4 linked regions of the Arabidopsis thaliana genome follow. The protein of the gene in region 3 interacts with the protein of the main gene of each other region in a pairwise test. Each region holds a gene or a part of one and is shown on either strand. Other genes may lie near its edges. The genes, in order: WAVH2, AT1G03140, AT4G35110 and AT2G25730.

Region 1 (8,598 bases), on a different chromosome or scaffold from region 3:
AGTTCCAATAACATTTCAACTAATACAGTCCGGTAATTCTTTTAAAATATGTTTGGATTATAAATATAGTGTGTCGTTTCCAAATATCTTATCCGTACAGCGTACAAACATAGTTTTTAAAGCACGTTTTTTGTTTTCCTAATCAAATTTCCCCACAGTAGTTTGACTTAGATTTTATATATATATTATAATGGTGTTAACAGTTTCAACACCATTATAATATTTTACTTTCTGACAAAAAAATAAATATATTTTTCTTCTTTAAAATAGTCCACCGCCAATGAAAACAAATGGATTAACGGAGTTTGTGTGGTTATTACGATAATGTATTATTTTGTATGGATGACATATACTCTGAATTTGATGTAAATATGTAATAGAAGATATTGGTGGTTGCAACTCTTGCAAATACAAAGTCATCAATAAAGACTGTTAGAATAACTTAAAAACTTAAAGATAATCCAATCTTGGCTGTACTAAATGGATGGTTACTTGAAAACTAGATAAAATTTAATTATAATTAACACTTTCACTTTTGACCAGAGAAGAAAATTAACAAATTTACAAAGCCAAGTGTCAGTATACTGATCTGGACCGTTGATTTTCAATGTTGACAGCTTTCGGACACATCACAACCACGTCATATGGGCTAATCTCTCTCTCTGCCGCAGTACCAGGACTTTTTAATTAACACGTTCACCTTTTCGGAGTTGACCAAACATTTTCGAAATTATTAAATCTCTCCTTAAATAACCCATTACATTATGTAAAAGATAACTTTGGTGATTAATAGATTCATAGATTTGTTTTAGAGTTACATTATTTGGGCCTAAGCCTATTTTACATGGACCTATGTTTGTAGAGTAAAGGTTGTTTTCGGTATCTTATTTTCGTCCCAGGCGCCAAAGGTAAATGCTTTATTAATTGGTTTACATTATTTTTGGAATTCTCAATGGGCTTTACAGTTGCCGATTGCACAAACTGTAGCCCAACTGTGACAAAATCTCCCAAAAGTTGGATCAGCCATTATAACTCCAAATAGTGTGTTATACCGGGTTATTCTGATTTTCACAGAGTTCATTAGTACAAGTAATTGTAACATCAATGAATGTAATGCACCTTGATTAGTATTTTTTTAAGTATGGTGCGTCAAACCGTTTGACCATATATAGTTCGAGATTCTTTCCCTTTCATTAGTTGACATTAACATTGTCCATATGCAATATGTAACTGCGTGATGAATGATAGCTTAGTTTTTTTTTTTGTGAAAAAATAATAGCTTAGTTTTTTTAGTTATGATTTGACCATATATATAGTTCGAGATTCTTCTGCCACTGATCATTTTAGTGAATCACATCGAGAAGTGGACCTTTGACAATAGTTAATCATTTCATCCATTTTAAAAGTATACAAAATCATTGCATTCAAAACAAATTGCAACTTGGCGCTAGCTACATATAATTAGTAAATGTCTTAATGATATAAAATGAATGAATTTAAGCGAGAAGAAAGCTTTGCAACGGCGCATGACCTGGTTTCTACCACGGTGCACCCACCAAACCATTCACCAACAACCAACAAAGACAATCCCCACGCACTATTCAAATCATTCAAACCCGGTGCCTTCTATAACAAAATAGGCTATAATGATGATCACATGACTAATCATGATCATTCATTTGGAAAGATATAATATATTATAGATCCTCTTAAGTTAAACGGCATATGATAATATAAACTTAACTTTTGATTTTGAAGTCCAGCATTACAAGCACACTCTCTAATCCACTATACCTCAACTTTTAATTCTATATAGTACACAAAAAAAGCAGACTTCATTTATTTGATCTACAACTTTTTTTAACTATTCAGTCATTAATTTGGAGTTTTTGAAGATTACAAAAAGGAAGAAGAAGATAAAAATGCTAAAAGACCAATTAATTCCTTCTAATGTAGGGTCTCAATCTCTCTGCAATACAAAAGGCCACACCCGTCGGCTACTGCTTGTCGCTATCATGCACCTATGTGGGTCTTTTTCTGAATAATCATACTTCTATTATTTATACCTTACTAAATTATTGCTTATCCTCCTTATATAAATTATGTACCATTATATATTCAAAAATCATTGAAATCGAATTTTCGAAAAAAAGGGAAATTAAAATTAAAATCTGGCGTTTTCCAAGCCGTGCATATCGCTGACTCGATTTAAATGCTTCCTCATAATAGCCACTTTAGCTAATTTCTCGGCGGCTCTCCAAGCCGAAGTAGGGGTAAGCTGCTCCGGTTTATCTTCAGTTCGGTTTAATATACTATTTCTCGGTTTAATCCGGCTAAGTTCATTTAGCTCAACCTCCAAACTCCTTAAACTATCATCCGAATGAGACGCATTGGACCGAGCCGTCGTTAGAACCTGATACGCTCCGGATAAATCCTCACGCTCGATAAGCCGGCGTGAATCCGCTACAGCGCGGCACATGGAGTGTAAATTTCTCAGCCGTTCGATGCTTGAAGATACATATCTGACGGATTGTGGCCGTGGGATCAAAAATCGTTTTTCTTTAGGACATGTCATTGGCTGATGTGTCATTTGGTCAACGATCGACGACTGTACGGACATTACTTGGTGGGAACCACTCGACGAAGTCGGCACTTTGAGCTCAACGAGAAACTCTCTCTCCTCCTCCGCAAACAAATCTCCGACTTGGATGACAGAACCGGATCCGAAATTCTCGAGTCGACCGGTTAAAGAGTAAACCGATGAAATCTCAGTCAAATGAGATCCGTTGACCAAACTGAGATTTAGCTTCACGTTATGGAGAGTCACGTTGAGCAACGAAGCGATTCTTTCGGTGAACGCGTCTCGTAGCGGCGCGTGAAGCAACGCTCCAGGAGAAGCAATGTAAACGGAATGAACCGGGATCTCCGGACGAGAGAAACGCGTGGTAGACACGACGAACGGAATGCGCGTTGCGTTTAGTTTAGCTTTCAAAACTGCCTCCGGTTGATCTTGACCGTCCGATAAAACAAAGATGCTCGTTGACGGATTCTTCTCCCGCCGATCTTCAACGACTTTAACCGCTTTCTTCAACGCGTCGTTAACGCTCATTCCAACTCCGCCGGTGGTTTCCATTCCGCCGAGTGCGTCGACCATTCGCCGCGCCGATCGTCTTCCTTTCGCCGTCATTCGTCGTAACGGCATTAACCGTTTTGACCCCGTCGAGAAAACGACGATCGATAAACGATCCATTTCTCGGAGAAGAGAGATCACCGATCTCATCGCGTGTTTAACCGTTTGCAAATTAGCACCGCCGTTGCTTAAATCGAGAACCGTTACCAGATCTATCGATGGTCTTCGCGCCTTAATCGCATCGGTGATGGACGACGGCGACGGAGACGCTTTTAGTTTCATGATGACGACGTGTGTCTCCTTCTTTTTCCCGGTTTCCACAACGGCAGATTCCGGCAGCAACTTAACCTCCAGATTTCCTGAGATTGAAGGAACCATATCAGACGTAATCGAAGAATCTCGGAAGAATCCGGGGAAGTCATCGTCATCTTCAACGTCGTCGTTTTCGTCTGATTCATGTATAGTGTTGATCTGAGCAAGAGAAACCGGCGAATAAGCTAACGGCTCATCGTCGTTGTACACTCTCAGTGACTTCCCCGTTTTGATCTCTCGGATCTCGGGTCGTCTAATCGGGTCGGATCCGAAGTTATTATTAACAGCCGGATAATTCGACTTTGGCGCGTGATTCCATGCGGCAGAGCAAAACGGACAACGCTTGTCTTCTAATCCATTGACGCAAGAAAGGTGAAACGAATGTGAACACTCCGCCGTGAAAATTGCCGCCGTCGAGTTGCTTTGATTTGAATTCACTCTCTGCAAACAAATCGCACATCTACTACTATTACTCTGCATCCACACACACACAAAACGGAGCTTTAGATTATGTCTTTCAAATTAAGAACTTGATTGAATCAAAAGTAACTACCTTGTTGAGAAGAAGCGTGGCACGGAGGAGAGAGACGCCGCCGCCGCCTTGAGAGGAAGAAGAAGATGATGATTTAGGAGAAGAAGGGTTAGAGAAAAACTTGGGACTTGAGCTGTTACTAGTCCTTGGAGTAGCATTGCTCGTAGTCCTGCAATGGAGTTTGGGACTAGTTGGAAGAGATGGGATAGTGACTGATGTGGAAGCTGAGGAGCGGCATCCAGTGCCGCTTCCGCCGCGTGATCGGAGACGAGGAGTTGAAGGGTTGGATAAAAAACCAAACTTTGATCGGAATCTTGGTGTGGGAATTGGAGGATCAGTAGTGTGTAATGATGAATGTTGTTGAGGTTTATCTTGATTACTTGAAACGGAAGTGCAAAACGCTTTTCTCCAACCAAACACCATTTCCTGTGAGAAAGAAATAAGAAGAGAAGCTCTCTTTTTTTCTATATTATTCTTCTTCTTCTTCTTCTTCTATTTGTGGAAGTAATTATAGAGAAGAAGAAGAAGGACTTTGGGCATAATGGATCATAAGGAAGATGGAGAAATTAAATACTAAGATAAAGACTATAGAGAGATTTCTTTTTCTTTAGTGATGTTTCGATAAAGACATTTTTTTTTATGTTATTTTAAGTTGTAGGAATATTATAAGGTAAAAATTGTGACTTTTATGCGTGTGAATTGGCTTTTGTTTCCATTTGCATGTAATTGTTTTGCCTCGAAGAAAATAATCACTGATCCGTTAAGTCCTTCTTTTTTTTGGGTCAATTTTGCTATTTTTTTTACATATTTCAAGTGTTGTTTCATTGGGATGGACGATAAAGTTAAAAGTCAACGGTAATAACCGACCATATGCAAAATGAGATTTCAAATAACTTGAGACGCGGAGATCTTTGTTTTCCATTTGCATGTAAAATCTTTCTTTTCAAAATATTAAACAGTTTATTAGATTGTCTAATGTGGATTCCTCTTGAATGTTCCACAATGTGGTTCGATTATATAAATCATTTCCAATCTTATCGGATTCTTCGAAATGCAGATTGTGATGGAGTGTAAGGTCAAACATGTGGGCACGTGACGTTACAGTCTGAGCAATAAACGGTAAGCTTATTTTCCTTACGAAATATAAATGATACTAAAACACGTTGTATTCGAGTTATCTTCATGATTGTGAATTGAGTTGTATATTTAATTGATAGTTGCTTACGTAATTACATACTGGCTGGAGCGAGGAATTTAACCTAAAGTTTTGGGTTTGGAATTTTGTAAAAGGTCTTTGATGGAGAAAGGTCGAAAAGTTTTTTTTTTTCATTTATTTACCAACAAAATGATTTATAATATATGGTGACGACAAGAGCTAATGATATGACATAAAGATTAGACTGGTCCAGGTCCAGCAAATTTTGAATTCTTCTTGCTATTGCAAAAAAATTGATGGTTTTGGTCTGATTTTGATTTCGACACTTCTATTATTTTGATTTGACAACCTTTTAGATTGGCTGATCAAGTGCTCGAGATAATTAGTGTCCTAAATCAAAGGTATTAACTCCAAAATACAAATTACTGCAATTTGTGGCCTCTAGTATCTTGCAGTTATGCTGAAGAGCCACATGAATGAATGAAACAATAAATGGGTGGGTACATATATGATAAGGGGGCTGCTAAACAAAATTGTAGTTAAGCATTTGTAAATGGTTTGGTAGGTTTTTTAAGTGGCTGCCATTGTAGAGACAACACATGACTTCGTGCGTGCATGCCATGGAATCATTGATTATCAACCAAAAAATGAAAATATTAGTTAGTTAATCTTGTTAAGAATGTAATGACTTATATTATACGAATAGCTTTACACAAGTATATATACAAGTACAGAGGAGGTTACACTAGGGTTGTACAAATATAGAATGTTCCATAAAGGAGACAGAGGAATATTATGATATTAAAGAGAGATGATCCTATGTATCCTTAACACGCCCCCTCAAGATGGAGGGGCTATGCACACTCCAATCTTGTCTCGAAGTTCCGTGAAGTGATTTCGAGGAAGCGGTTTTGTTAATGCATCAGCGAGTTGGTCTCTAGTGTTGACGTGAGCCACACGAAGAATGCCTTGCTGAACTTGTCCACGAATAAAGTGATAGTCTATGGCTATGTGCTTCATCCTGGAATGGAAAACCGGGTTTGCGCAAAGGAAAGTAGCACCCACATTATCACAATAGACCACAGGCGGTTTGGGAAGTGTGATCCCAAGCTCCGTGAGAAGGCTGCATATCCACTGGATTTCACAAGCAGTATTTGCCACCGATCGATATTCAGCTTCTGTTGAAGACCTTGCAACGCTCTTTTGTTTCTTGGCAGTCCATGAGATTGGATTTTTCCCGAGGTAAACGATGTAAGCATTTGTTGAAACGCAATCTTCTGAGTCTCCGGCCCAATCTGCATCTGAAAAGGCATGAAGGGAGAGCTCGTTTTGAGCAGCAAAGAAAATGTCGTGAGTCGTAGTTCCAGCCAAATATCTAAGAACTCGTTTTGCAGCTTGCCAATGATCATTGGTTGGTCTGTGCATAAACTGAGAGAGGCGGTTTACAGCATATGCAATATCAAGTCTTGTGAATGCAAGATACTGCAAACTTCCAACAAGCTTTCTATACTCAGTAGGGTCGGAGAGAGTTATACCAGACATGAGTGTGAGTTTAGGAGATGATGCCATTGGTGTTCCTACTGGTTTGGCGTTAATCATGTTGTAGCGTTGAAGTAGATCAAGAATGTACTTTCGCTGCGAAAGATGTAAGCCCTTAGACGTCCGATGATCTTCTAGACCAAGAAAATAGTTGAGATCTTCAGGGTCTTTGATGGAGAAGCGAGCTGCGAGTGCATCAAGAACTTGTTGAATGCTTCCTTTGTGACTACCCATGATTAGTATATCGTCGACATACACCAATAGATAGACAAATTATTTGCCACGTTGCAGAATAAACAGAGAAGTGTCAGCCAACGAGTTTTGAAATCCCAAGGTGAGGAGATAAGTCTTCAATTCCGTATACCAAGCACGCGGAGCCTGTTTTAACCCGTAAATCGCTTTACGTAGTCGACAAACGAATGATGGATTGTCGGGATCAATAAACCCAGGAGGTTGCTCCATGTAAACTTCTTCTTTCAAGGTGCCTTGAAGAAAGGCGTTGTTGACGTCTAATTGTCGGATTGGCCACGATCGGGTTACCGCAACATCAAGAACAAGACGTAAGGTGGTCGACTTGATCACAGGACTGAAAGTGTCTGTATAATCACGGCCAAGTTGTTGATTATACCCTTTTGCCACAAACCTTGATTTGCACCTGCCAAGAGAACCATTAGGGAGAAATTTGTTTTTAAATACCCATTTACAACCAACAATGTTCTTATTAGGCTCTTGATACCATGTTAAGAATGTAATGACTTATATTATACGAATAGCTTTACACAAGTATATATACAAGTACAGAGGAGGCTACACTAGGGTTGTACAAATATAGAATGTTCCATAAAGGAGATAGAGGAATATTATGATATTAAAGAGAGATGATCCTATGTATCCTTAACAAATCTAGTTTAGTTGGATTTGATTTAACATTTGAAAAACTTGTATACCAACTTAATTCGAAAACTGTATGGAAGATTTTGAATGTCCTAACACAATCACAATTATTGTATATATATACTTGGTCTGTCCGGACAAAACTGCTAATCAAACCTTTCAAAGAAAAAAAGGAAAAACCAAAAAAAAAAGAACTTAACTAAACAATAAATCAATAATAATGCTGATACGATATATTTTGTCCATATATATGAGATCGTAAATCTCTCCCATGACTGATAACTGATAAGAAATCTATGGATACCATCAATTCGGTGGGTTTGTTGAAGGTCTACCAAATCGAAGAAACACACATTCATTCTCGTAATCGTACGTATATTCATTTATCTAGCTTCTTTTATTTGAATTTTTACGCAATATGCAATTCGATTCGTAGACTCAGTTGAATATAATTGACCTAATACCTAATGCTTATAACTAAATATTATAGATACTATTCTTGAATGCAACATTGAGATGATCAAATCATTTACATTTACAATCTTATTTTTCTCGTTTGATGAAGAAATAATTTTGGGGAACAACCATATATAGATGAGTGATAAAGGTATTGCCACGTTCCATTACTGAGAAGCATAATTCAATTCATATCTTTTGGAGACAAATTCGACATGTCATTCCCTAAGTCTATTTCATATATTTAATTTTAAAAACATTGAATATTACTATATAGTTTATCAACTTATATGGATGTATATAGTATGTCCCATTCGAATAAGTGCATCAAAGCGAAACGAATTAAATGAGATTCACGACCAATGATTGTTGTTTATGTGTATACTATTAAGTTCACGTGAAGCTAGCTACAAGAATCACAGATATATACTACATTATTTGGATTAAAGTTTTAAAGTAACAAGAGTGATTTAAATTCGACCCGTAGGTTCTCTTAAACTATGAGAGTACTATATGAGTCTTTAATTATCTTGATCGAATATATGCCTTGGAATTGATTAATTAACGCCTCTTTGAAAA
Region 2 (7,567 bases), on a different chromosome or scaffold from region 3:
TTCTCATGGAGAGAGAAAGAGAGAGAGTGAGATACCTTCGTCTGTGTTTCTGATTAGTTTTCTTATCTCTTAAATATCCTATTGGCCCATCCCAAAGCTATAAGACGGACGGCGCGATTAATTACTTTTCAAACACATGAATTAACGTTTTCACATATGTGTTCATATCCAAAAGGTCCAAAGTATACCACGAAAAGGGAGAAAAACAGATTTAAATTCGTGAAATCCCTCTCCCACAATTAAATTTACTTCTTCCAAACAAAGACAAACGGCTTGAACCAGTCAAGTAAGTGATACGGCACCACTAGATGTTCCAGAGCCTCCATCTTTTTTAATACGAAGAAGATTTGTCCTTTGTGTGTATGAATTTAACAAGTTTTAATTATAGATTTGTGTGTGTATGAATTTAAAAACCTAGTACGTAGCATCAGGGAATGATATCATAGCTATTTTAGTTGAGCTTTCAAATAAGAGATGATCAAAATTTAGAACTTCTAAGAACATGAACGAATAAACAACTATTTTCTTTTCAAACCAACTAAGGTAGATGGTCACTGAAAGTATATACATCAGATAAAAGTTGCTTGTTATTCCAGATGAAGTTGGACCGAGAAAAAAAAAAGTTACTTGTTATTCAATATGTTTGGATCTTTGTCTTGCAGATTGCTATATAGGGTTGATAATGGGCTTCGTTGTAATGGGTATACAGTGTATAAGAATCGGCCTTGTGCAACCAATCCTAATATGTGTGTCTCATTAAGGTAAGTGCTTAAGATTAGAAGAGTAAAACACTTGACTTATCAACTATGTCAACTAAGGGTTCTATATTTTTATTAAATAAAAAATAATTGAATATTTTTTAGAATGATTTAATAAATTTAATGCTATTGTTTGATTTAAATGTATAATTCACCGCGAGAAGAAATTTTATAACTCAAATTTTAAAGTTTTAAGTTGTATTTGTTTATTTTGTTAAATGTTTAATATTGTATAATTGTATTTTGATTGTTGTTTCTCGGATTTCACCCGTAGTACATCATCCCATATTAATATCGAATCAAACCCGTCAATTCTAAAATTTCACCCGTGGTAGTATTTAATTGTATAATTATATTTTAATTGTCATTCTAAGATTTCACTCCTAATTCTATCGCAAATTATTATCAACCCAAACCAGTCAATTCTAAAATATCACCCGTAGTACACCATCCCATATTAATATCGAATCAAGCCCGTCAATTCTAGGATTTCACCCGTGGTAGTATTTAATTGTATAATTATATTTTAATTGTCATTCTAGGATTTCACTCCTAATTCTATCGCAAATTATTATCAACCCAAACCAGTCAATTCTAAAATATCACCCGTAGTACACCATCCCATATTAATATCGATTCAAACTCGTCAATTCTAGGATTTCGCTCGTGGTAGTATTTAATTGTATAATTATATTTTAATTGTCATTTTAACTCCTAGTTCTATCGCAAATTCTTATCAACCCAAACAGTCAATTCTAAAATTTCACCCGTAGTATAAAGTTTAAATATTTATAATATTTAAATTTCTTATAAAAGAATCAAAATGTGTTTTAAAAAAATTAAAGTTTTAAGTTTTTTTTTTTTAATATTGTTAATTTTGTTTAGTGTTTAAGATTATATAATTACATTATGATTGTCATTATATGTTTTTCTCCATAGCATACTATCCCATGTTATTATCCACTCAAACCTGTCACACCATATAACCCCGTCCCGTGAAATTAAACACAAATTTGTCATTTTATTATAAATTTCAAATATTTATAAAATTAGAAACTTCAAAAAAGATTAATATTGACCCAAACTTCATCATTGAATTTTGAGTGTTATATCTAAGATTTCTCTCGCAATATATCGTCCCGTATTAATATCTTTTATATTGTTTAAATTTCTTGTAAAATTTAATTTATAATTTTTTAAACTTTTTAAAGTTTCAATTTTTTAAAATAAATAACCCTAGGAAACAAACCATTTTAATTTAAAGATAAACTTTATAAAAAGTTTTTAAAATTATAATATTTAACTTTTGATAAAGTTATAATATTTATAATTTCTTGAAACATTTTAAAGTTTCAATTCTTTAAAATAATAAATCCGAGTAAAATCAGATAACTATTTTAATTTTGGACGCTTGATAAATCAAGCTTCCTGCTCATTCGTAATCAGAATCATTTTGGTCCTTTTATAATATGGGTCTGAACCATTGTCCAATTTTTCTAAGCGATGTGGGACATTGTACACATATTATTTCTTCATAGGTTGAATAATATATGTCCGTTTAAAAAACTTTGAATTACATCATATTCAGAAAAAAATATAATATTTTATTAACTATATATATTTTATATAAATTCAAAATAAATAAAGTATAAGATCAAATAAAAATGAAAGAAGAATTATATATTTATGTTTAAATTAGGTAGAAATATTTTAGGAAATTGGTTAAGGTAAATAAGAAATATGGTTAGTTTAGAGATATTGTTTATATTAAATCATTAATTTTCGTTTTTAATTATTAGTTTTTAGGTAACTTTTCCAAAAATTAATGTTATCCAATATCAGAACAGAATTAAACATGTTATCCAGGATCCGAACAGAGTTAAACCGGGTAAAACCCAACCATTTGAATTAATTGTTGAATTATGGCTCAAATCTTCAACATTATCTTCAAAAATCTCCTCCAAAAATGTATATATAGATTAAAGTTTAATCAAAACTAATTATAAATTTGTGTGGAAGAAAACGAAACATAATAGTTCAAATACGAAACAACAGGAATAGTAACATCATCTAAAGGCTCTTGGAGAAATTTTTAATGCAGATAACAATTGTGAACCAAGTTAGGGTCTTAATCATACTCTAATTCATCAGGTGTGATAGGTCTCTTGAGAGGAATCACAGACTTTTTCTCTACATCTCTTGATAATGCCTTCCTCATATCTGTTTTTTTAGATCAAACGATTTAAGATTTAAACAAAAGAAAAAGTTAAGCGCGAATCATAGATAAAAAGAAGTTAATCAAAGCCTCACCTAATCCATCTTCCTCTCCTGAATAATAGCGTAAAACCCGCCTATAAATTATGTATCCAAGCTGCCAGAAAAAGGAGAAACGGTTTGTTTCATCAAAATGGCCATCAAGAAGAAGCCTATGAAGGAGATTTGACACTAATAAATGGAAATATGTAAAATGTGTGCATGTCCCATTTACAACTTCTTCTTTTTTTCCTACAATGTCATCAACATTATGAGGCTTCTAATCAATTTCATAATCCTAATATATTACCTTTTCATACATCTTGATGGCTGGTGTGTTGGAAGCTCTTACAAAAAGATCCACAAAGTAGGCTTTATCACTGCAATCAATAACCACAAGTATAATAATCATTAGAAGACCAGAAATTACCAGATAATATATAAAATCAATGAGGAGAAATTCAAGATTTTCTTCCTTTGAAACAATCTAAATATATCGGTTTTCAAATAAATAAATGGTCCACTCGAAAGCCAATATCAATATATTAAGGCTTTCATATTTTATATCATAACGATCCATATCAAAGAGAACACTAAAACTTGAGATGCTTTGTAATTGTTAAGTCTTACATCTTATCACTTATATCTTCCAGAAGGTTCATCAGTTTCTTTGCAAGTTGCTGCCTGCGGTATTCTGGAGAGACAGTGACGGCTGTCACATGACCATGCCAAGATTCACCCTGTCCTTCAACTTTACCCATAACTGAAACCATGTAGAATCTTAGTTAGACACATGCTTTTAAAATTATATTTATAAGAACAAGTTTTACATATGTCACTTACGTTGGATTCTCAAGAATATCAACCATAACATTTCAACTATACAAAAGAACATTTCAGTGACACTGCTTAATTTTCAAATGTGTTAATATCCAAAAGCTTAGTTTTACTCTCAGTTCTTTCAATGGTTTCACTATACTTCCAAGGTCTCTTTCCAAACTATACCACGAAAAGGGAGAAAAACAGGTATAGTAATAGGGCACCACGAGAACAGAACGTCAATAATGAAGCATATATCGTACTTGAAGAAAATAAAGAAAGATAAAGCCTTGTATAAATCACATTTCGAACCAATCCAATAAGGTATAGCATCATTATACTACAAACACTGAAAGACAGAAAAATTTGAGCCTTGATATAACTCATAACTCATTCTCTGGACATTTAGAAGTTAGCACAAACAATCTTAAGCCATGCTTCCTATGCATCTTCTACCCCATATCAAGATTTCTAAAACCGCTAACTACAGAGACTAGGACTAATACAAGCAGAATTTGTTTAAACACTTATACATCCTGGTTTGTGTTAATCAGTTTTCAAACAGAGTCACTCTTCCTGGTTTTAACAACATTCAAGCTATCTCCATCTGATAACCAAAAAAAATCAATAGTGGCTTTTACACTAACAGTTTATCATCTAAGTTTCAACCCTAAAAGTAAACATAATCTCCACGAATTTCAAATTCCTAAACCAACGAAGACATAAAGAAATCAAAACGAAGAGAACAAGAGGATTACTTACTATAACCCATGACACGATTGCCGGGACCTTCAGCAACATGAAAATAGTCAGGCCATCTCGCTAAATAGGTCATGTAGAAGGACATATTGAACTGTTTCACGAAACAAAATTCGAACAAAAATCAACAAAATCGCCATAGCAAAACAAAGCAATAATCAGACGAAACCAGATAATAAGAAGAAGAAACACGAGATTACTGTTTCAGTGAGGTGGTCCAGATTCACGGAAGTGAATCGGAGAAGGTCATTGCAGCTGAATCTACGTATCGTCGTCATCTCTTCTTTTTCTCAAATCCCTTCGAGCTTCGTCAGATTCTCTGGAAAAAGAAAGAGGAGACAACAACAAAGCAATATACATGGCCCAGTTAGAAAATTAATAAAGCCCATTTATATTTGGGCCTATAACACTGATGACGTCATGTAAAAGATGATCAAATTTCATTATCTCCCGTCGTCGCGACCTTCTCAGACAACAGAACCAAATCCTCGGCGGCGATTGAAGAAACCTTTCCGATGGATCTGCTCAGGGAAGAGATTCTGAAGAAACGTAAGAGTCTAGCTGAGGAATCTGGTGGTAAGAAGTTCTTCAAGCGGTCTGAGATCGAGCAGAAGAAAATCCAGAAGCTTCGAGAGGAAGAACGACGCGAGCACGAGCTTAAGGCTCAGCGGAGAGCCGCCGCCGCCGCTTCCGGTGGAGATGGAAAATCATCCGGCTCTGCTCCTGGTTCTTCTAACGCAGCTACGTCTGCGTCTTCCAAATCCTCTGCATCGGACGCTGCTGCTATCGCCGATTCAAAAGCCCTAACCGACGAAAACCTAATTCTCCCGAGGCAGGAAGTGATTCGTCGTTTGAGATTCCTTAAGCAGCCGATGACTCTCTTCGGAGAAGATGATCAATCGCGGCTCGATCGACTCAAGTACGTTTTGAAGGAAGGATTGTTCGAGGTTGATAGTGATATGACTGAAGGACAGACGAATGATTTCTTGCGTGACATCGCAGAGCTTAAGAAGAGGCAGAAGAGTGGTATGATGGGAGATAGGAAGAGGAAGAGTAGAGATGAGAGAGGAAGAGACGAAGGTGATAGAGGTGAAACAAGGGAAGATGAACTTAGTGGTGGTGAATCGAGTGATGTTGATGCTGATAAAGATATGAAACGTTTGAAAGCTAACTTTGAGGATCTATGCGATGAGGATAAGATCCTTGTGTTTTATAAGAAGCTGTTGATTGAATGGAAACAGGAGCTTGATGCGATGGAGAACACTGAGAGGAGAACTGCAAAAGGGAAACAGATGGTAGCCACTTTTAAGCAGTGTGCTAGGTATCTAGTTCCTCTCTTCAACTTATGCAGGAAGAAGGTAAAGATTCTTGCTTTCGATTGTTAATTAGGTGTAAATCATTGTTTGGCAAGAAAATTGTTAGGGAGATTATCTCTGTTTATGAAATTGGAGATAGATTATCTCAGTTCTATCTAATAAGCTTAGAGAACTATGTTTATTAAGCATAGTTTGGGTAGGAAGACCAATGTGCAGTGTTTAGGTTCCATTAGTTTGTGTACTTTTGATTATATGGCGACAAGGACGAGTTTTCTAATAAGTTCTAGTGCTAGGTAGACAATGAGAACGTAGAATAGCAAGTTGGAATCTGTATGCACCTTGAATTTGCCATTGAGGCCTCTGTTAGTTATCTCCATTTAGCTGAAGAAAAATAGGCTGGAATGTTGAATGCAGAAAAAGTTTCTCTCTTTCTGTCTTTGTCTTATAAGTGTTAAGAATGTATACTTTCTTACACTGAAATTTTATGAGGTTTCGTGAACTTGATCTTTCTAGTTATGGCTTAAAATTGCAGGGTTTACCAGCTGACATTCGTCAAGCTTTAATGGTGATGGTTAACCACTGCATAAAGCGAGACTACCTTGCTGCAATGGACCACTACATCAAACTAGCTATCGGGAACGCGCCATGGCCTATTGGAGTGACTATGGTTGGTATTCACGAACGTTCAGCTCGAGAGAAGATTTACACCAACAGTGTTGCTCACATCATGAACGATGAAACCACTCGCAAGTATCTTCAGTCAGTTAAAAGACTGATGACTTTCTGTCAAAGACGTTATCCAACTATGCCTTCTAAAGCCGTTGAGTTCAATAGCTTAGCCAACGGAAGCGACTTACAGTCTTTGCTAGCCGAAGAGAGATTCTTTGGTGGTAATCGTGAACAGGTCTCAGAGGAGAGACTCCGGCTCATGCCTTCTCAGAGCGAAAGCTAGTCTTACTGTGTTTTCTGCTTTGTTGTGTTTTTATTTTTGTATCAAAACGTTGACTCTGTATTATCGTCTATTTAAAACGTTGACCTGATTGTCTAGTCTTATGTGGCATGTGGGAAACATATCCAAACTCATAAAACGACATGGCCTAAAGATCTAGTAAGGGTAAGAGGAGAATCGAATCTTGGAACCTTATTGGTCCAAATGGTATGATCACCTTATCCCAAAATGTTCGATTCTCATCTACCCTCTCGTTGTCAGATTCTATTAAGCCATTTCATCTCTATCCATTTACTCCACAGAGAAAGATTCAGAGAAAACAGAAGAAACTATGGCAACTCAAGCCGCCGGAATCTTCAGCCCCGCCATAACAACCACTACTTCCGCCGTCAAGAAACTCCACCTCTTCTCATCAAGCCACCGTCCCAAGTCTCTCTCCTTCACCAAAACCGCCATCCGCGCCGAGAAAACAGAGTCCTCCTCTGCTGCCCCAGCCGTGAAAGAAGCTCCAGTTGGATTCACTCCCCCGCAGCTAGACCCAAACACACCATCACCAATCTTCGCCGGAAGCACAGGAGGTCTCCTCCGTAAAGCACAAGTAGAGGAATTTTACGTGATCACATGGAACTCACCGAAAGAACAAATCTTTGAGATGCCAACAGGAGGAGCTGCGATAATGAGAGAAGGACCGAATCTATTGAAACTGGCGAGGA
Region 3 (7,813 bases):
CCGTTCTTGGGAGCACTAGCTGCAGCAGCTTACCACCAATACATATTGAGAGCTTCAGCAATTAAGGCCTTGGGCTCGTTCCGAAGCAACGCAACCAATTAATGAAGGCTTTTTTTAAGATAATGTCAAGAAACAACTTTAAGATTTATATGCTTTAATTATTATTTGTTGTTCTTTTGTGTGTAATGAGAGAGATGGTGGATTGATGTTAATTATGAAATGGCTCAGTGACTTCTATTTCCTTCTTTAGTTTTTGATTGTCTTTGTTAATCGTTTGCCTTTGGTTTCTCTTAGTAGTTACAAATTCATGTTTTCTCTTCATGTCAGTTCGTAAATATCGAACAATCCAAGTTGGAATTTATTATTCACAACATCACAAGATCCTTCAATGTACATTATTACAGCTAGCGTCCAATTAAGATACAAATTTCGGCTGAACATGGTGTGTGGGTCTTTTGGTTATTATCCTCGTGTCGACTCTAAACCATCGGGTCATATGTAAACCATTCATTAATTGACACGTGTTGAGAAGGAAATATTGGATTCCATTTGCTATGTGGTTACATTTTCGTTAGTTGACAAGAAAACAACTATTTTCGCTCCATTTGCTTTAGTCTTTTTTTTCGATGTTACTTGTTAGAATTAGTATTGTTTTTAAAAGAAAAAGAACTCGTGCGAGTACCTTTTGTTGTTTTTGTGAAAGGATAAAAAGGAGTGGAGCCAATAGAGTTGTAACAACCAGACAAGAAACGAGACATTAAACCCATTTTTTCCACCGCACTCTAACTTTTCTTAGGCCGCGTGTCGCGTAGCTCATGTGTTTATCACATGGGTAACTTTTCTGCGTCTAGTTACCGTATTGTTATTGTTATTGTTATATAGTAGACTCCTTTTGGCTAAGAGTCTTTAGACCCACCCAAACGCATATGTGTTTGGATGTATTAGGAAATTATTTGTATAAAAGACTTTACCAACTTAATTGAATAATGCATTTGATTAAAGAGAGAAAAAAAAAAGAAAATGCTCATGGAAGCAATAAGCACTAAATTTGTCTATGGGATGTAAATTGCGACAGTGAGAGTTGGCTTTAAAATAGTATGAATACAAATACGAATTTGTCTACATGGAATAGTAGTAATAATTCACGTCTCGTCTTTTCAGAAAAGTGAATGCAGAGGAGACAGAGAGAGAGAGAAGGACCACAACGATGGCCTTCACGCTTTTACTGGTTAATACGCCTAGTGTCTCAGTTTTAATTTTAAATACTTAGCCGTTATGATCGATTCTTCGTTATCTCTTCTTAGCTTCAATATGGTCCACTCATTTTGAACTTTGTAAACCCTAGCAGCTTATGAAGTATGAACCATCATATAGTTGGGCCTTAAATTTTGTTTTATAATAGCTATTGCTTTATTGGTTCTGGATAATAGCAATTTTGCAAGTTGCAAAATACCTTATGTGACCGGCCGGTTCACCCCTCTGCTTATCCCTAAACCGATTTACTTTAACCGATCTGATGCTGTATAGCTAAAAACATAAACTTGAAACAGACAGCAGCTGAGTGTGAAACTTAGTTGTCTGTCCATTTTTTTGAAAGAAATGATGTCATAATATGTTGACAAAAAACATCTTCAACTTTGGATATAAATCACTAATTCAGACTTTTTAAAAGTTGCGAACTTTTTTAATCATTCCATGTTACGGATTATTTTTTATGTGTCTGGAAAAATTGGCTGTCAAGGTGATTTCACGTGATAACTAATTTGTTTTTTTGAGGTCATTTGCCATCTTGTGAAAGCCTTTGGAGCCTACTTAAAGATTTTATTTTATTTTTTCTAGTAAAGACGATTGAAGTAACTGCTGTCTATTAGTTAAGATCTGAATCTCCAATGAGGTTATTTATAATTACTTACTCACATTGTGCAACAAAACCAAGCACAATTTGTGGTCCACAAACCTTTATCTGGAGGTTTCTGGTTCAACTTCTCCGGTTTACACTTAAATCTTCGTTTCGTGAGCAAACCCAACGGGGAGCTTCCCGTTGGGCCATGTTTCAGTGGGCTCGGTGTAAAGCCGACATGAGTAACTGAAGCCCAGTAGCATTGTCGCAAATAACAGATTGATTTGTCCGTTGCAAACGGTTTAAAAGCAGAGTACGATACTTTGTTACTTTTAAAAATATCAAATCTAACAATTATGTAACAAAATCAACTAGTGAATAACATAAAAACATAAGATATATTTGGCTTTAAAATCCCCTAAAAATCATCGTTATGGAATAACATCTACTTTTCGACAAAAACAAAGTAACAAAAAAATCGAAGAGTAGAGCTCAAATTGAGTGTAATAAAGAATGAACTCAACAAAATTATTCATTCCTTTATTTTGCAAAAGTGTTGTTTTGACATTTTCTATACACATATTTAAAAGAACTATACTATACAATATTCAACAAGTTCTGCTATAACTAACACAATAAATATAGTTGTGAATTTAATTTTTAATAAACAATCTTTCGTTTTCCAAACTCGAAGGCAACTTGTAATCTTTCCCATTATAGAAAACGAAAGAAACCAAAAAAAAAAAAACATAACCAAAGAAAAATGCATCACACAAATCAAAACGTATTTATTAGCAACAACCAAATATCTTAATATTTTTTATAAGTTACCAATAAATACCAGCTTTCCCATAATACTTAAAAACCCTAACCTTAAAAACTCATTTATTAGAGCATTTTTGATTTTGTGCTATTACCTACTACCCTTGGCTTACTACTAACAACATCACACACAACTCAAACTCACAGAAGCTCATCTATAAACGATTTCCCTTTAAATTTCTCCATTTTGAATCCCATTTTCTCCATCCTCAACCGTTCTGCTTCGATCTCAACCATCTGAGCCCGCGTCTCCTCAATCCGCCGCTTCACTTCCACCACTTCCTTCTCCATCCTAACCAAATCCGTTTCTTGAGCCTCAAGCTCTTCTCTCTTAGCCTTCACTAAACCATCATGCCTCTCTTTCTCATTTTCTACATCTTCTTGAGACTGCGCAAACTCTTCAAGAACAGAACGTAGCCAAGCTACTTCAATGTTCACAGACTCCAAGTCTTTGAGAACCGCAAGCATCTCTTTGACCTTGACTTTGCTCAACTGCCCTACCGGGGTTGACCTAAGTTCCTGCATCAGTGAGCATAAACACTCGAGGTAACGTGATCGCATTGAATCCGATTCCAGCTTACAGTTTTGAGCAATGTCTCCGTGCTTTTCGATGACAGCACTTAGTATAGTGGATGAACCCGATCTGACTCGGTATTTCCCGACAGAGACAAAAGTGTCAGACATTACTGATTCGAGATCGAGCTCTACACCAATCTCATTGTTGTTTTCGTCATCATCATCAGAAAAATCATCATTGCTCTCTTTTCCAGGCGATCTTGGAAGGCTTAGGAAACTAAAGAGTCTAGTTTCGCCGCCTTCTCCAATCTTCCCATTGTGTTCTTGTATTCCCGGTTTAGGTGATACCACTTTGCTTTGATCAACCTTCATAAGATACAAGAATCTTGATGTTTACAAATATGGTAAAGATATGGTGGTCGAAATCATGGAAGAGAGTAAAGGATGAGATACCAAATTGTTTGATGAAAGGGGAATGGTTTGAGAAGGTTTCTTCTCTGGTTTATGGTTGAAGAAATCATCCGGATCACCGGATGATGAAGAAGTGAAAGAATTTTTCGTTTCAGAAACAATCTTCTTCTTCACGGAAGCAGGTGGAGCTACAGAATGATGAACCTTTGGGGAATTACCATTTGCAAAACCGCCTCTGCCGTTTTGATAAGGCCTTGCGGATAGCGGTGTAGGCGGTTGTGAATTCGACTCCTTCTTTTTCCTACCGAAACTCCCTGAGAAGCTAAGAAGCCTTGAACCTGTAACATAACAGAACAAGAATCAGAATCCATAAAGGAAAAGTTTTTAAAATGGCAAAATCAAAAGCAGAAAAAAGTACTTTGCTTCTTAGTGTTCTTCTTGACATGGCCTTGAGCAATTTTCTCTAAACAAGCTGAAGCACATTCATGGAAAGGATTATCCGCATATACGCAATCTGGATGAGCTTTTCTATTGAAATCCATAGCTTTTTGATGAATGGAACAACTGCAACAAAATCAAGATAACTAATCAGCTCAAAGAAGACAAACTCAAAGAACAACACAAGAACTTCAAATTTGTGGTGTCAAAGGACTGAACATATCACATTAAGGGTAAGTAAGTGGTCAAACCTTTACACCTTAATTTCAACAAATAGTTCAAAAAGATTAGACACTAAAAACTTATAATATACAACAACCTCCCAACGAAATTGGATTCCATTCATATTTCACCAACCCTTTATATGATGAAAGAAAAAAAGTAAAGAGGGAGATTGTGAGAAGCAGAGAGAGATTCACCAAAACATATCCATAAAGAAATTTCTTACGAGTAATAGTGAAATTGATCCCCACAAAACCAATCAAATCATAAAATGTATAGGTATAGAGAGATACAAAAAGACGACTTTTGGTTTGTTTCTTCTCCTTAATACTTTCATGGACCGACCATGCAATTTCCAAGTACAATTTTCCAGTGAGATACTAAATTTCAACGGTGGAAGCACTCAGTTATTGACTTAGACCAGAGTTAAAAGGTAGATTATTTTGACCGGCTTGTTTTCTTGAACAGACAAAAACTTCCAAGGCCCACCCTTGTGGATAATATTTTTTTAATAGGTTGAAATTTCGTTTTCCATGATTGTCGTTTGTCACAAAATTTCCTTAGAACAGAGCAAAGAAACAGAGCATATGACAATAAAACAGTATCAATCAGTTTCATCATCGATCATTGAATTAATTCTTAAAACAAAAGCAAACCCACGATTCTGATCGAGATCAAGAATCTATTTGTGGATCAAAGAACCAAACTTTTAATTCACACAAAAATGCAATCAATCAACAAACAGAGAAATAAAGAGAAAGAGAGAGAGAGATATACCAGGAGAATCGGAAGAGGGAGAGAAATGTGATGAGCGGAGAAAAATGAATAAAATGTTGATTTTTATTTTTGTTTATAAGGTATAACAGTTGTGTATATTATAAGGTTCATGTGACATTGTCTTTGGTATAATAATAATATGATGATGATGATGAATTGACCAAAGCCAATATTACCAATTGAAGATAGAGAGAAGCATTTAATTGAAAAGAGGTTGGAAACGGCAATCAATCACACACCTCACTTATCTTCCAGAAGTGGACAACAACGTGGGACGGTTATACAAATACGAGTGAGATTTTTAGAGTCGACGAGAATCGAAAGTAGAAATCTGTAACCACTTAAAGGAAAAGAAATTTAAGAGACAAAAATAAAGAAAGAAAGTTGTCAGTTAAAACGCGTTATTGCGTGTCATTGTTTGCATCACACGTGAGGTTCTTAAGAATCTCAAGTTCTTAACCATATTGCTATATCTCTTGTCTAATTTTATGCATAGAAGTTATCTTTTTTTTTGCTGTCCATTATTACTTAACCAATAAAACTTAGACATCTTTCAATTAATAAATATAGATAATATAAAGTTATGTTTACATTGGATCTCTTAGTATTTTTTCTAATTGTTGTTGCAGATAAGTATAAATCAAATCAAATATATAAATATCATTACTTGCGAATAAGTGTTGATACCAAATTTTCTGATAATATTATGGAGATTGCTTAGGTAAAACATATTTTTATGATTCAATCCGAAGGAAGGAAATTTTCTACCCGATTTGTCAAAGTGCATGCATGTTGATCCGATAGGAAACAACATTTATTATAGAATCTGATAAAAGCATCTTTTTGTTATTAATTGTGTCATCTTTCGTAAGTCGTAATTTTAGTATTAGTACAATATAGTTTCGAAATGCGAGTAGCTTATCCAGAAGCGATAAATGACCATTTCCCCAAAAATACTTTCATCCTTTTTTGTTGGGGGTCAGACTTCATATCATGAAGAAGAAGAAGAAGAAATACATAGAGTCAACTCTAGAGCGTTGGCTTTTAAAAAGACATGAAAAGATTTTGTTAATACTATAATGCACATTCTTTAAATAAATCATTTAGCAAACTACTCTAATACGACCATTCTTTTTCATTCATGCAACATGTCTTTTTCTTTCCCTGTTGTTCTCTAATTTTATTTTACTCTTCATTCATTTGTCTTCGTTGGTGTTTCTTTTTTCTCTTTTTTTTTTCCAGAAAATTAGATATTTATGACCAAATCCATATTTTTCTAATAAAAAATAGAAATATTGTCAGTATACCTGCACAATCGTGTGAACGAGTCACCTGAAACATGATAAATTCTTCTTTCCCCTAAAGCTTACTCGTGTCTCCATCAAGAAATCTTCCAAGAAAGAGACTAGTTTAGTGCATTGTTAGAGAAGTCTCAAATCCTATGACTATGAATCATCAAGCAAGTTACATTGTGTAAGTGTATCTTTCTGTCTTTCATTTTTTTTTTGTGTATACATGTACATTTGAAGGTATACCAAAATCAAGGGAGGGATCTTAAAAAAAGTTTGAAAGCAGCATAGAAAAGTTCTTTATACGATAAATCCATAGATTTTCTTATACGAATTTGGTGAGTTCGGTTTAAAAAACTGAACACCGAAATTCCAGTAACACAACATAATGTATATATAACGATGTGTTGTTAATTGTTATCGTTTTTAATATTACTTTAGTTTTCAAACCGGTTTTAACAGGGTTCAATACTGAAATCTGTTTTAAAAACGGGCGATTTGGTATTTTATTTTAATTCAGGGGACTTGTTCATTAATTTTAACTAAGGAGAAAATATTTCCTTTTTACTATTGTCTTATATAAGACCTAATTTGAGACCTAAAACCTGAGCTTAGTAAACACGGTATCGTTGCTATGGACACCGCCAAAGTAGAACCACCTCAGGAAACGAAGAAGACGATTCTCACAGCTCAAACTCCATTATCTATGTCGATTTCATCACTTCCAGATGAAATCGTTTTAAGTTTCTTAGCCCTGATCTCTAAATCGTACTACCGTTCCCTCTCTTTAGTCTCCAAAAGCTTTTACTCTCTTCTCTCTTCTACAGAGATCTACGCGGCCCGATCCCACATCGGAGCGACAGAGCCTTGCCCGTACGTGTGCCTGTGGTTACCCAAAAAACATCGCTGGTTCACCCTAGCCGAGATTGAGGGTAAACTAAGTTTAGAACCGGTAAGGCTCTCTTCCTCTTATCCTCGTACTCGAGTAAACTCAACCACTGTAGCTGCTGGTACCGAAATCTACAAAATCGGCGGAACTGTCAAGGGCAAGCGATCCAGAGCTGTTTTTGTACTTGATTGTTGGACTCACAGGTGGCGTCGTGCTCCTAACATGAGAGTGTCAAGGGTAGGCGCCAAGTCTTGTTTTTTAGACGGAAATATATATGTAATAGGAGGATGCAGAAAGAGTGAGGAAGAATCCATGAATTGTGGTGAAGTTTTCGACCTAAAGACTCAGACTTGGAATCCGCTGCCTAGCCCTAGTGTTAATTATGCCGTCCATTCGAATCACAAAGTTGCAGTTTCTGGAGAAAGGCTATACGTAATCACCAAGCGTAACAACTATGCATATGATCCGAATGAAGGAAGATGGCTACCAGACGTGGGGTCTGTGGATTTACAACCCATAACTGGACCTTGGTCCGGCGGTATAGAAAAAGTTATGAAACCTATAACTGGACGACCTTGGTGCGTTATAGGAAATATAATGTTTGCTGAT
Region 4 (8,137 bases), on a different chromosome or scaffold from region 3:
CTCGAATTTTTGTTTTATGAGAAATGCCAAGACGACGAGTGATTGCGTATGATGTTATCATTGATGATGCAATTAGGACACACACTAGATCACGTAATGACGTAATACAATTACTTTTTTATTTTTTATCTGTACTTTATAGTTTTATTTAGACAAGCAAATGTCCGTATTCGGACCACCTGCCATGGTTTGTATTGGAGGATTGGCGGAAAAAATGAAAGACTGAAGGAAAATGTGTCTGTGTATTCTAAAGTGAGTTTTTTTTTTTTTTGTCGGCCGGGCCACAAGGACTGGGTCCAAACTCCGGTAGTCCGTTTTCTACATCTATAGAGTCAAACTCCAATTGAGAAGAGATAGTAACTAGTGGTGACAAATGAAACTTTATAGAATTGGAATCGATACGGGAACCGTTATGTATTTGGATTACTTGAAATATAATTCTAAATATCCGATCGGTTTTAGAATTTGGTAATATTATATACCTTTGCCCAAAAAACAAAGGTATATTATATACCTTATGAGTCATAAGACTCAATTTCGTATGTGGGCTAAGTTAACAGATGGACCTTTTAAAGAGTTATAGGCCCAAGTAGATATGTTCTTGGAGAAGCCCAGTTGACGATTCTTTCTTGACATCTTTTGTTCATCGAAAAATTTGCGACATACATTTTGACTATTTATTTTTGTCTGGAATTTTCAACAGATTTAAAGTTTTGTCATAAATTTGTCACAAGTTGGTTGAGAAATTTCAACAGAATGTATGTCACAAAATTTCGTAATGTTTCAGCAGGAATTTGGATGTTTTCCGCAGAAATATATGTCTACACATATCATAGTTATAAGACGCAGAAAAAATACAAAACGTTTATAAGACCAATGTAATTTTATTATAAAGTTATAAACTCAGTTACTCTAATTACTGTAATGTTCACTAATTGTATATTTAGTTGTCACCAGCAAAACGAAGTCAGATTTAAAGACAAAACAACGTCTACTTTGACTATTGTTTTGTAGTTCAGTAGTCAGATTAGATACCGGCATTTAAAATGCTCCCTTTCACCAATTAATTATTCATACAAGTTGGCTAACGCAGTTTCACAAGCCTTTCAAAGCTGACTTTGAATTAGTCTCAGTTTTACGTCTCCTTATCCATCCATCTACTACAAAATATAAATAACACAGCTAAGATATTCACAAAGACACAAGACGAAATATTCAACCAACAAAACAAAGACAGAACAGAACAGAAGGAAGAAATGATGTTAGAATCTTCAAGCAAAAAGAGATGGAACGTTAACGTGTTATCATCAGCTTCATCTCACAGAGAGACAATTGTACTTGGAAGATATAGCAAGAGTTGCAGAGAACAGAAGCAACACCAACGAAGAGAAAGGCTCTTGCCCAAATGGAAGGTTTTGTTGATGAAGCTTAAGCTCTTGCCTTCTCGTGCTTCTTCCACTAAGGTCGTGGCTTATGAGCCTTGTGATTACTCTTTGAATTTTGATCAAGGTCCAGGATGGCACGACCACGATGAGCCTGAGAATCTTTCACGGTCTTTCTCCTGTCGCTTCGCTGATCCCACACGGATCCGAGAAACACGCTTTCTCTTGTATTAAGTTTACTTTTCTTTTCTCCTTCGGTTTCTTTAGACCTTCTTTTAAATGATGAGATTATGTGGCTTAGCATTGTAAACAAATGAAAAGAAAAGTTAGGATCATTGAGTTAATTTTATTTGTTCTAGTGGGAGGTCATAAATTATAGTATGTCTCATTACTTCTCAGTCACTCTTCCTTTCCGGGTTTCTCTACTTCTGTAAAATCATTTTGTCTACTATATTTGCTTTCGTTTTTTTAAAAGAAAATATTGAAAAACTTTATAGTAATAAGATGGACCTTAATTTCACATTAATCTACTTCCTAAGCATTACAATTTATAAATCATTAATGATTCATAATACACAATATGTGCAAATATTATACTATAGTCTAAGTACAATTGTGTAAGTCATATGTGCAAATATTATATAGTCTAACTACAATTGTGTAATTTATATGTAAGTGCTTAGGTTTAATCTCATCTCATGTATATATAAGGCATGGCCTACTATTGAATAAAGTAGGAAACCTTTATACCAAACTAGGCTTCTTGACACTCCTTTCTGTCTTGGGCAATCAGTAGAACTTTGATGCCTTTATGCAGCAACTATGCATAGTATACTCGAAGAACAATTGAGACCGAACGTGTGCATCTTGAACAATGGACACTAGAGGAAGACTATCACATTTTTGATTGTTAGATTTTGGTTTTGTTTTTCACCTTTTGGTTTAAGAGTTTTGTTTTTCATTATTCCTTTGATTGAATAATGAATTGCATTGTTCCTTTGTATTGATGAGTACGTAGTGGAATATTTTTATTATAGGTCAATTGATGAATTTATATTAATGATCAAAATGTCATTACAAACAATACGGAAGACTAAACCAACCAAAGAAAAGTTACAACAACAAAGCTAGTAAAAACAGACACAAGGGAAAACATTTTATAAAGAACTATTAGACAAATCTAAGCGAAACAAACCATAAATTAGAAACAGAGAATTAAAAACAAAAGCTAAAAGTTGTTCCAGATTATTATTCCACACCCCTTTCTTAACCTGCAATTACCAAATGTAGGATCCTAAAACTTCTTGACGAAGGTTAATAGAGTGATACTACTTTTTCTTGGGAGATTTCAGAGTATCTTATTTCTTTACATCGTGAACCTTTTGTTTTTTTCTAGCTATCTATGTTATTCATGATGGAATTTGAGCTTTGATGATTCACCAATCATCAAAGTACCGTGGGACTTACCGAAGTGATATCATCTTCAGTACTTGGACTTACATTAGAGCCTATTGATGCACGTCTTCTCCATGAAGATGACTGTGGAAATGAGCCTCCAAAGTTTAGGTTCGTATTGATAACATCACATAATAACGTAAGTAGAAGAATTCGCATAAAAAAAAGTAGAAGAATAAAAAAATTCGCATACTGAAATTCGTAAAATAAAAAATCGCATTATAAATTCAGCAATTATATACTCATTTATTTTGTGTTTTGATGTTTCGGTAAACATTATGCATATTTTCTTAATTGGTAAAACTTTTGCATATTCGCATAATCTATCAACAATGGTTTTTCGATTCAACATCCTCCACATCATCTTCTCTTTCTTCCACATCATTTCCTCTCTCTTCCACATAATAATTCAATACCCACTCAAATTTTATACTCTACAATGGTTTGTTTAATAAAATTCAACACCCTACCCCACAAATTTTTTTTTCATTATTTTTCTTTTCTTTTATGTTTTAAATGGATAATTAATAGAATTTTGGGTGTTAAATGAGTTATTGTTGGGATGTTTTCTTTTATGTTTTATCGGCTAATGGATTTTTTTTAGTGAAAATAGATGTAATTTTTTCTGTGTCCAAATAAAATGAAACAAGTCTCTATTTATAAAGTTTGGAAAATGATGAATTTTAGTATAAAAATAATTTAAAACAAATAAATATTTTATAAGATAATTGATCTCCAATAATTCAGAGGAAAATAAAATATAAGAAATTTCAGTAGCAAATAAAAGAACAACACATGTCCTATCTTTATTTAACTCTCCCCCACAATTTCTGTCTCCAATTATTTAATGACAAGTGGCAATGAAGGATCCATTTTTAAAGATTCAACATTGTTGAATAGATTCAACACTATTTAATCCACATAGGATTCATTTCTTTATTCAATACCCCATTGTAATCATTCAACTATTGAATAAATTTTTTCAATAAGCCATTGTAGATAGTCTAAGAAAACATTATTCCGCCATTATACATGTAAACCTACTGGAACCTTAATTGCTTTTGTTTTTTTTTTTTGTCTAAAATCTTAATTGTTTTTCACACTTTTTTTGTCAGCAAAGACAAAAAATAAAATAAAAAGCAAAACCATTGGTTAACAAGTCAGAACCGAAACGAATTTAATCAATCGGGTTAACCCATTTGCTTCCCTGTCCCAGCCTTAATGGTCTGCTCTGCTCGTCTCAGCTAAGTTGACGATTCCAGACCAAAAATTCTTCACAAAAAATATCTGAAAAATCCAGCCAAGATATTTCAGATTGTACGGAAAATTTCAGAGCAAATAATTTTCAGATTAATCGGTATGTATTAGCTCAGTGATCGGAATTTGTGACGGCGATGGATAAAGAGACGGAGATTCTCTCCCGTCTCGCGGCGAACCACCTTCATCTGGCTCAATTCGAGCCATTGAAGGCTACGTTACTCGCTCTCAGGGTTCGTAACCCTGACCTCGCACTCACCATTCTCCAAACCATCGTCTCCAACGCTGGAAGATTCGATAATGTCCTCTGGTCACGCTCTTGTCCTTCCCCGTCTCTTCTCTCGTTCCTCTCCACGATTGAGCTTCTGAGATTCGAAAATCCTACTTCTCCTTGGGGATTTGATTCAGAAACTCTAAGTTTGCGTGCCGATTTCTTGTTGATGGTTCAGGTTTTGATCGATAGAGTTACAGAGAGGATTAAGGAAGATGAGGAGAGTGAGGATGAAAATTCTGGATTAGGGAATTGTTTAAGGGTGTTGCAAGGTGTTTTGGAGTTAGGTGTTGAGAGGTTGAAGTTTGTTGTTGATACTAGTAGTAGTGAAGGAAGTAATAAGATTGAGGAAGATGCAGTTGTGTCTTTGAGGAGTATAGTATTGGATTACTCTGATGTTTTCGATGCTTTATGTTGTAATATTCAGAGGCAACTTGCGGGTTGCGAGAGTTACGGTACATGTTTGGTTGAGGAAGTTCAGGGAGAAGAACAGAGAAAGGAGATGAATGAGGCCACATGTATTGGTTCTCCGGAGCTGGATAACATCAATGTGTTTGCTTTGATACAGAGGAATGTTCAGTTAGCACAGTTGGATGCTATGAAAACAAAGTTGGATGAAGGTGATGAGCGCGGGGCAGCTGATCGCATTCGTTATCTTCACCTTGATTATGGAGTAGAGAAAGAGAACTATCAGTAAGTGCTTGATTTATATACATTCCGCAAATACATGAGTTTATTCCGTTCTATTTCCTGCTTCAATTTGTCTTCCTGTTCCTTAGCATTTGTTTCTTGCATATTTAAGAATAGAGAACTTACTTCAATTATTCTGTTTTCTTATTTATGATAGTGCTGTTCTAAAAGCTCTCCTTTCAAGAGTTATGGAGAAAAAGGATGAATATGGTGATTCCTGGCACATGGTGCGCCAGAACTTGCTGTTTATGTATAAAGAAGCTCTCTCATCGAATTGTGGAGATCTTGTTCAGATGATCCAGGTTGGTAATTTTTTTATAAAAGCTGATATAATGGATCGTTCTCATTAAAAACAAGGTTTCACATGTAAGATACAACTATTTTTGGTACATATTGCTGAACTGAGAAAAGAACAAGTGGTTTACGGAACCTGCTAATATGTAAATGTAGTATAGCTTATATTTGTTGCGATTAAGAACTTAGAACCGTTTTGTCAATCTTGATTATACTGGAATTTGAAGCTGGTATAGCCAGTTGGCATTTTTCTTCTATATACTTTGTGAATATTTACACTGGTGATAGTTGAGTTCAGTGGTTGGTCTGAGTTGATGGGTTTGCTTATATGTGGATATTGAAATATGTGTATGTGTGGCTTTGAGTAAGTTATCTTGTACTATAAGCTGTTATCTGATTACAACGTTTTCCTCGGCAGGGTATTCAAGATGATATGCTCCTCCCACATAGCCAACTACATTTATCTCTCGACAATGAACAAATTCCACTCCCTCTTGAATGTTTCCGGCGATATCTTGTAGACTTGAAAACTGAGAGAAATATAGAGGACAAAAGTTCTCCTATGAGCAGGGCAATTAATTCTTGTCTCAGAGATATGTATCATTATGCTCGTATTTCTGGATCACATGTTCTTGAGTGTGTGATGTGTGCTGCTTTGTCTTCTGTAAAGAAAGAGAAGCTTCAGGAGGCTAATGATGTAGGTGGAATAGAATAAAGTTACATATCTTCGTACTCATTATCTTACTGCAGTATTGTTGATTGGCTGCTACCCCATTTGACTTCCCTTTTTCTATTGGGATCTGAATCCCTCTTCTGCTCATATGTTTCAGGTTCTTACTTTGTTTCCCCGACTTCGCCCTTTAGTAGCCTCCATGGGTTGGGATCTATTGCCGGGCAAAACTGCAACCCGTAGAAAATTGATGCGGCTACTTTGGACTAGTGACTCGCAAGCACTTCGGCTAGAAGAATCTTCTCTTTATGGAAACCAGACAGATGAAGTAACTTTTTTTTTCCTTCACATAAACTACTATTTGGATCTATTATTTTTAGAAGATGACAGTGAAAGTCTAACAGGACACAATGATCTGGGCAGAAATCTTGTGTGGAACACCTCTGCGATACGTTATGTTATCAGCTGGAACTTGCATCTTTCGCTGCTTGTGTCAATTCTGGTAAATCATGGACTCCAAAGGCATCTTTCTTGATGCATGGTAATGTGTCATCCGCGCATGATGATGCGGAGGTGGATCCTTTTGTTGAAAATCTTGTATTGGAAAGGCTTTCAGCGCAAAGTCCACTTCGGGTAGGACATTCTTAAACATCCTTTCTACATAGACTAATCCCCCACAGGAAAAGTGTTCTGGAAGAATATGTACAAATAAATTTCTCTAAGCTATAATTAAATTTAGTATTGTCAGTGGAAAATTTCATTATATATCATGTTGGCTAGATATATTTGCTTACATTAGGAATGTTGTCTTCCTAGGGAATACGTATAGTTAAATAAGAAGAGGAATAGATAACACGAGGATATTGTAGCATATGTTACTATGGTTTATCAGGAGTACTAATCAACAATAAGAGTACAGTGGGATTTTAAGTCAATTTTGGATAAATATATATATATTTTTTTTGGGTTAAAAGATATCTGTTTCGTTTATCACATTGTTATAGTTAGCAAGTTTCCTTGGATCATATAAAATGAATTTTTGATAGCTTCTGGTATTCTAGGTGTCCTGAGCTCTTGGAGGAATGAAAGAATATACATCTTTTTTCCTGAATAATACAGCACTTTTCATTATGCCATAATAACTTTTAGTACTGTATTTTGAAATAATGAACCTTGTCACTGTGAAGGACACTGACATTGCCATCAATTTCATACTATATAAATCTAAATGTTTTTTGAAATCTTTCCACTGGATAGATGAGTTTGCTTTGGCACTTAGTATTTCAAATTACTATTTATGAGTTTGCCTCTTTCCTCTTCCCTTTAAACCTCTCTGTTAATTCTTTCAGTTTTTGCCAAGCTATGACAAACTTTGTCAACGAGGTACTGGTATATTATGCACTAGCAGTGGCATGTGATTTTTTCCTAGTATGATCATGTAAAATTGTTTCTGTTAGGTTAAGTGATATTGGTGCTCTTAATCCGAATGTTTTCTTGGTGCTCTTAATCCGAACAAGTTTTAACTGCATACAATTATGTAGGTATTGTTTGACGTTGTTCCGGGCATAAAATTCCAAGATGCTATTTCACTGATTAGTATGCAACCTATTGCTTCAACTGCAGAAGCCTGGAAGAGGTCAGTTCAATAAAATATATATATACAAATACTTTGATCAGTTGTCTCTTTACTTTCTTGGATAGATGTATCTGTGTTTAGATTTTAGCACCTAACCCCTCACAACAATTTTTGCAATAGCCCTCTTGTTTTTGTGAAATGTTTTGTGCATTCTTAAAGCTCTTTTGATTTTTATTTTTCTGAGGTGAATCGTTGCGGTTTCACTTTTATGTCTTCGTATACTGTAGGATAGAAGATATTGAACTGATGCATATGCGTTATGCTCTGGAGGCAATCGTTTTAGCACTAGGTGCAATGGAAGAGGCTATGAAGGATGAGACAGATGCTAGTCATCGAGTAGTATTTTACCATTTAAAAGACCTCACTAACCATTTGGAGGCCATTAAAAATGTTCCACGCAAGGTAGTATACATATATACATTGATTAATTTACAAGAATCTGGGCTTTTCTCATCAATTTGGTTGTAACACCATATTGAAAA

What was found.
Region 1: the proteins of AT4G35110 (region 3) and WAVH2 interact in a two-hybrid assay, tested with the Arabidopsis thaliana proteins (one large-scale study listed by BioGRID).
Region 2: the proteins of AT4G35110 (region 3) and AT1G03140 interact in a two-hybrid assay, tested with the Arabidopsis thaliana proteins (one large-scale study listed by BioGRID).
Region 4: the proteins of AT4G35110 (region 3) and AT2G25730 interact in a two-hybrid assay, tested with the Arabidopsis thaliana proteins (one large-scale study listed by BioGRID).

Annotation. Positions count from the first base shown.
Region 1 is NC_003076.8:26,257,271-26,265,868, reverse strand, and holds WAVH2 (Zinc finger (C3HC4-type RING finger) family protein), read right to left. Parts: upstream 4,734-8,598; 5' UTR 4,398-4,733; coding exon 3,996-4,397; intron 3,917-3,995; coding exon 2,165-3,916; 3' UTR 1,699-2,164; downstream 1-1,698. UniProt on the Arabidopsis thaliana protein: Probable E3 ubiquitin-protein ligase involved in the regulation of root growth. Acts as a positive regulator of root gravitropism.
Region 2 is NC_003070.9:753,761-761,327, reverse strand, and holds AT1G03140 (splicing factor Prp18 family protein), read left to right. Parts: upstream 1-5,024; 5' UTR 5,025-5,104; coding exon 5,105-5,947; intron 5,948-6,437; coding exon 6,438-6,857; 3' UTR 6,858-7,067; downstream 7,068-7,567. Other genes in the region: FZL (FZO-like protein), read right to left, coding at 1-7; AT1G03150 (Acyl-CoA N-acyltransferases (NAT) superfamily protein), read right to left, coding at 2,887-2,978, 3,069-3,129, 3,322-3,391, 3,642-3,774, 4,593-4,683, 4,790-4,867; PSAD-2 (photosystem I subunit D-2), read left to right, coding at 7,186-7,567.
Region 3 is NC_003075.7:16,709,857-16,717,669, forward strand, and holds AT4G35110 (phospholipase-like protein (PEARLI 4) family protein), read right to left. Parts: upstream 4,936-7,813; 5' UTR 4,461-4,935; coding exon of another isoform or gene 4,447-4,460; 5' UTR 4,370-4,446; coding exon 4,347-4,369; exon of another isoform or gene 4,154-4,346; coding exon 4,008-4,153; intron 3,928-4,007; coding exon 3,632-3,927; intron 3,545-3,631; coding exon 2,804-3,544; 3' UTR 2,559-2,803; downstream 1-2,558. Other genes in the region: PIP3 (plasma membrane intrinsic protein 3), read left to right, coding at 1-102; AT4G35120 (Galactose oxidase/kelch repeat superfamily protein), read left to right, coding at 6,950-7,782.
Region 4 is NC_003071.7:10,968,824-10,976,960, reverse strand, and holds the start of AT2G25730 (zinc finger FYVE domain protein), read left to right. Parts: upstream 1-4,009; 5' UTR 4,010-4,231; coding exon 4,232-5,058; intron 5,059-5,212; coding exon 5,213-5,357; intron 5,358-5,767; coding exon 5,768-6,046; intron 6,047-6,179; coding exon 6,180-6,347; intron 6,348-6,442; coding exon 6,443-6,652; intron 6,653-7,560; coding exon 7,561-7,655; intron 7,656-7,882; coding exon 7,883-8,057; intron 8,058-8,137. Other genes in the region: AT2G25735 (uncharacterized protein), read left to right, coding at 1,257-1,616.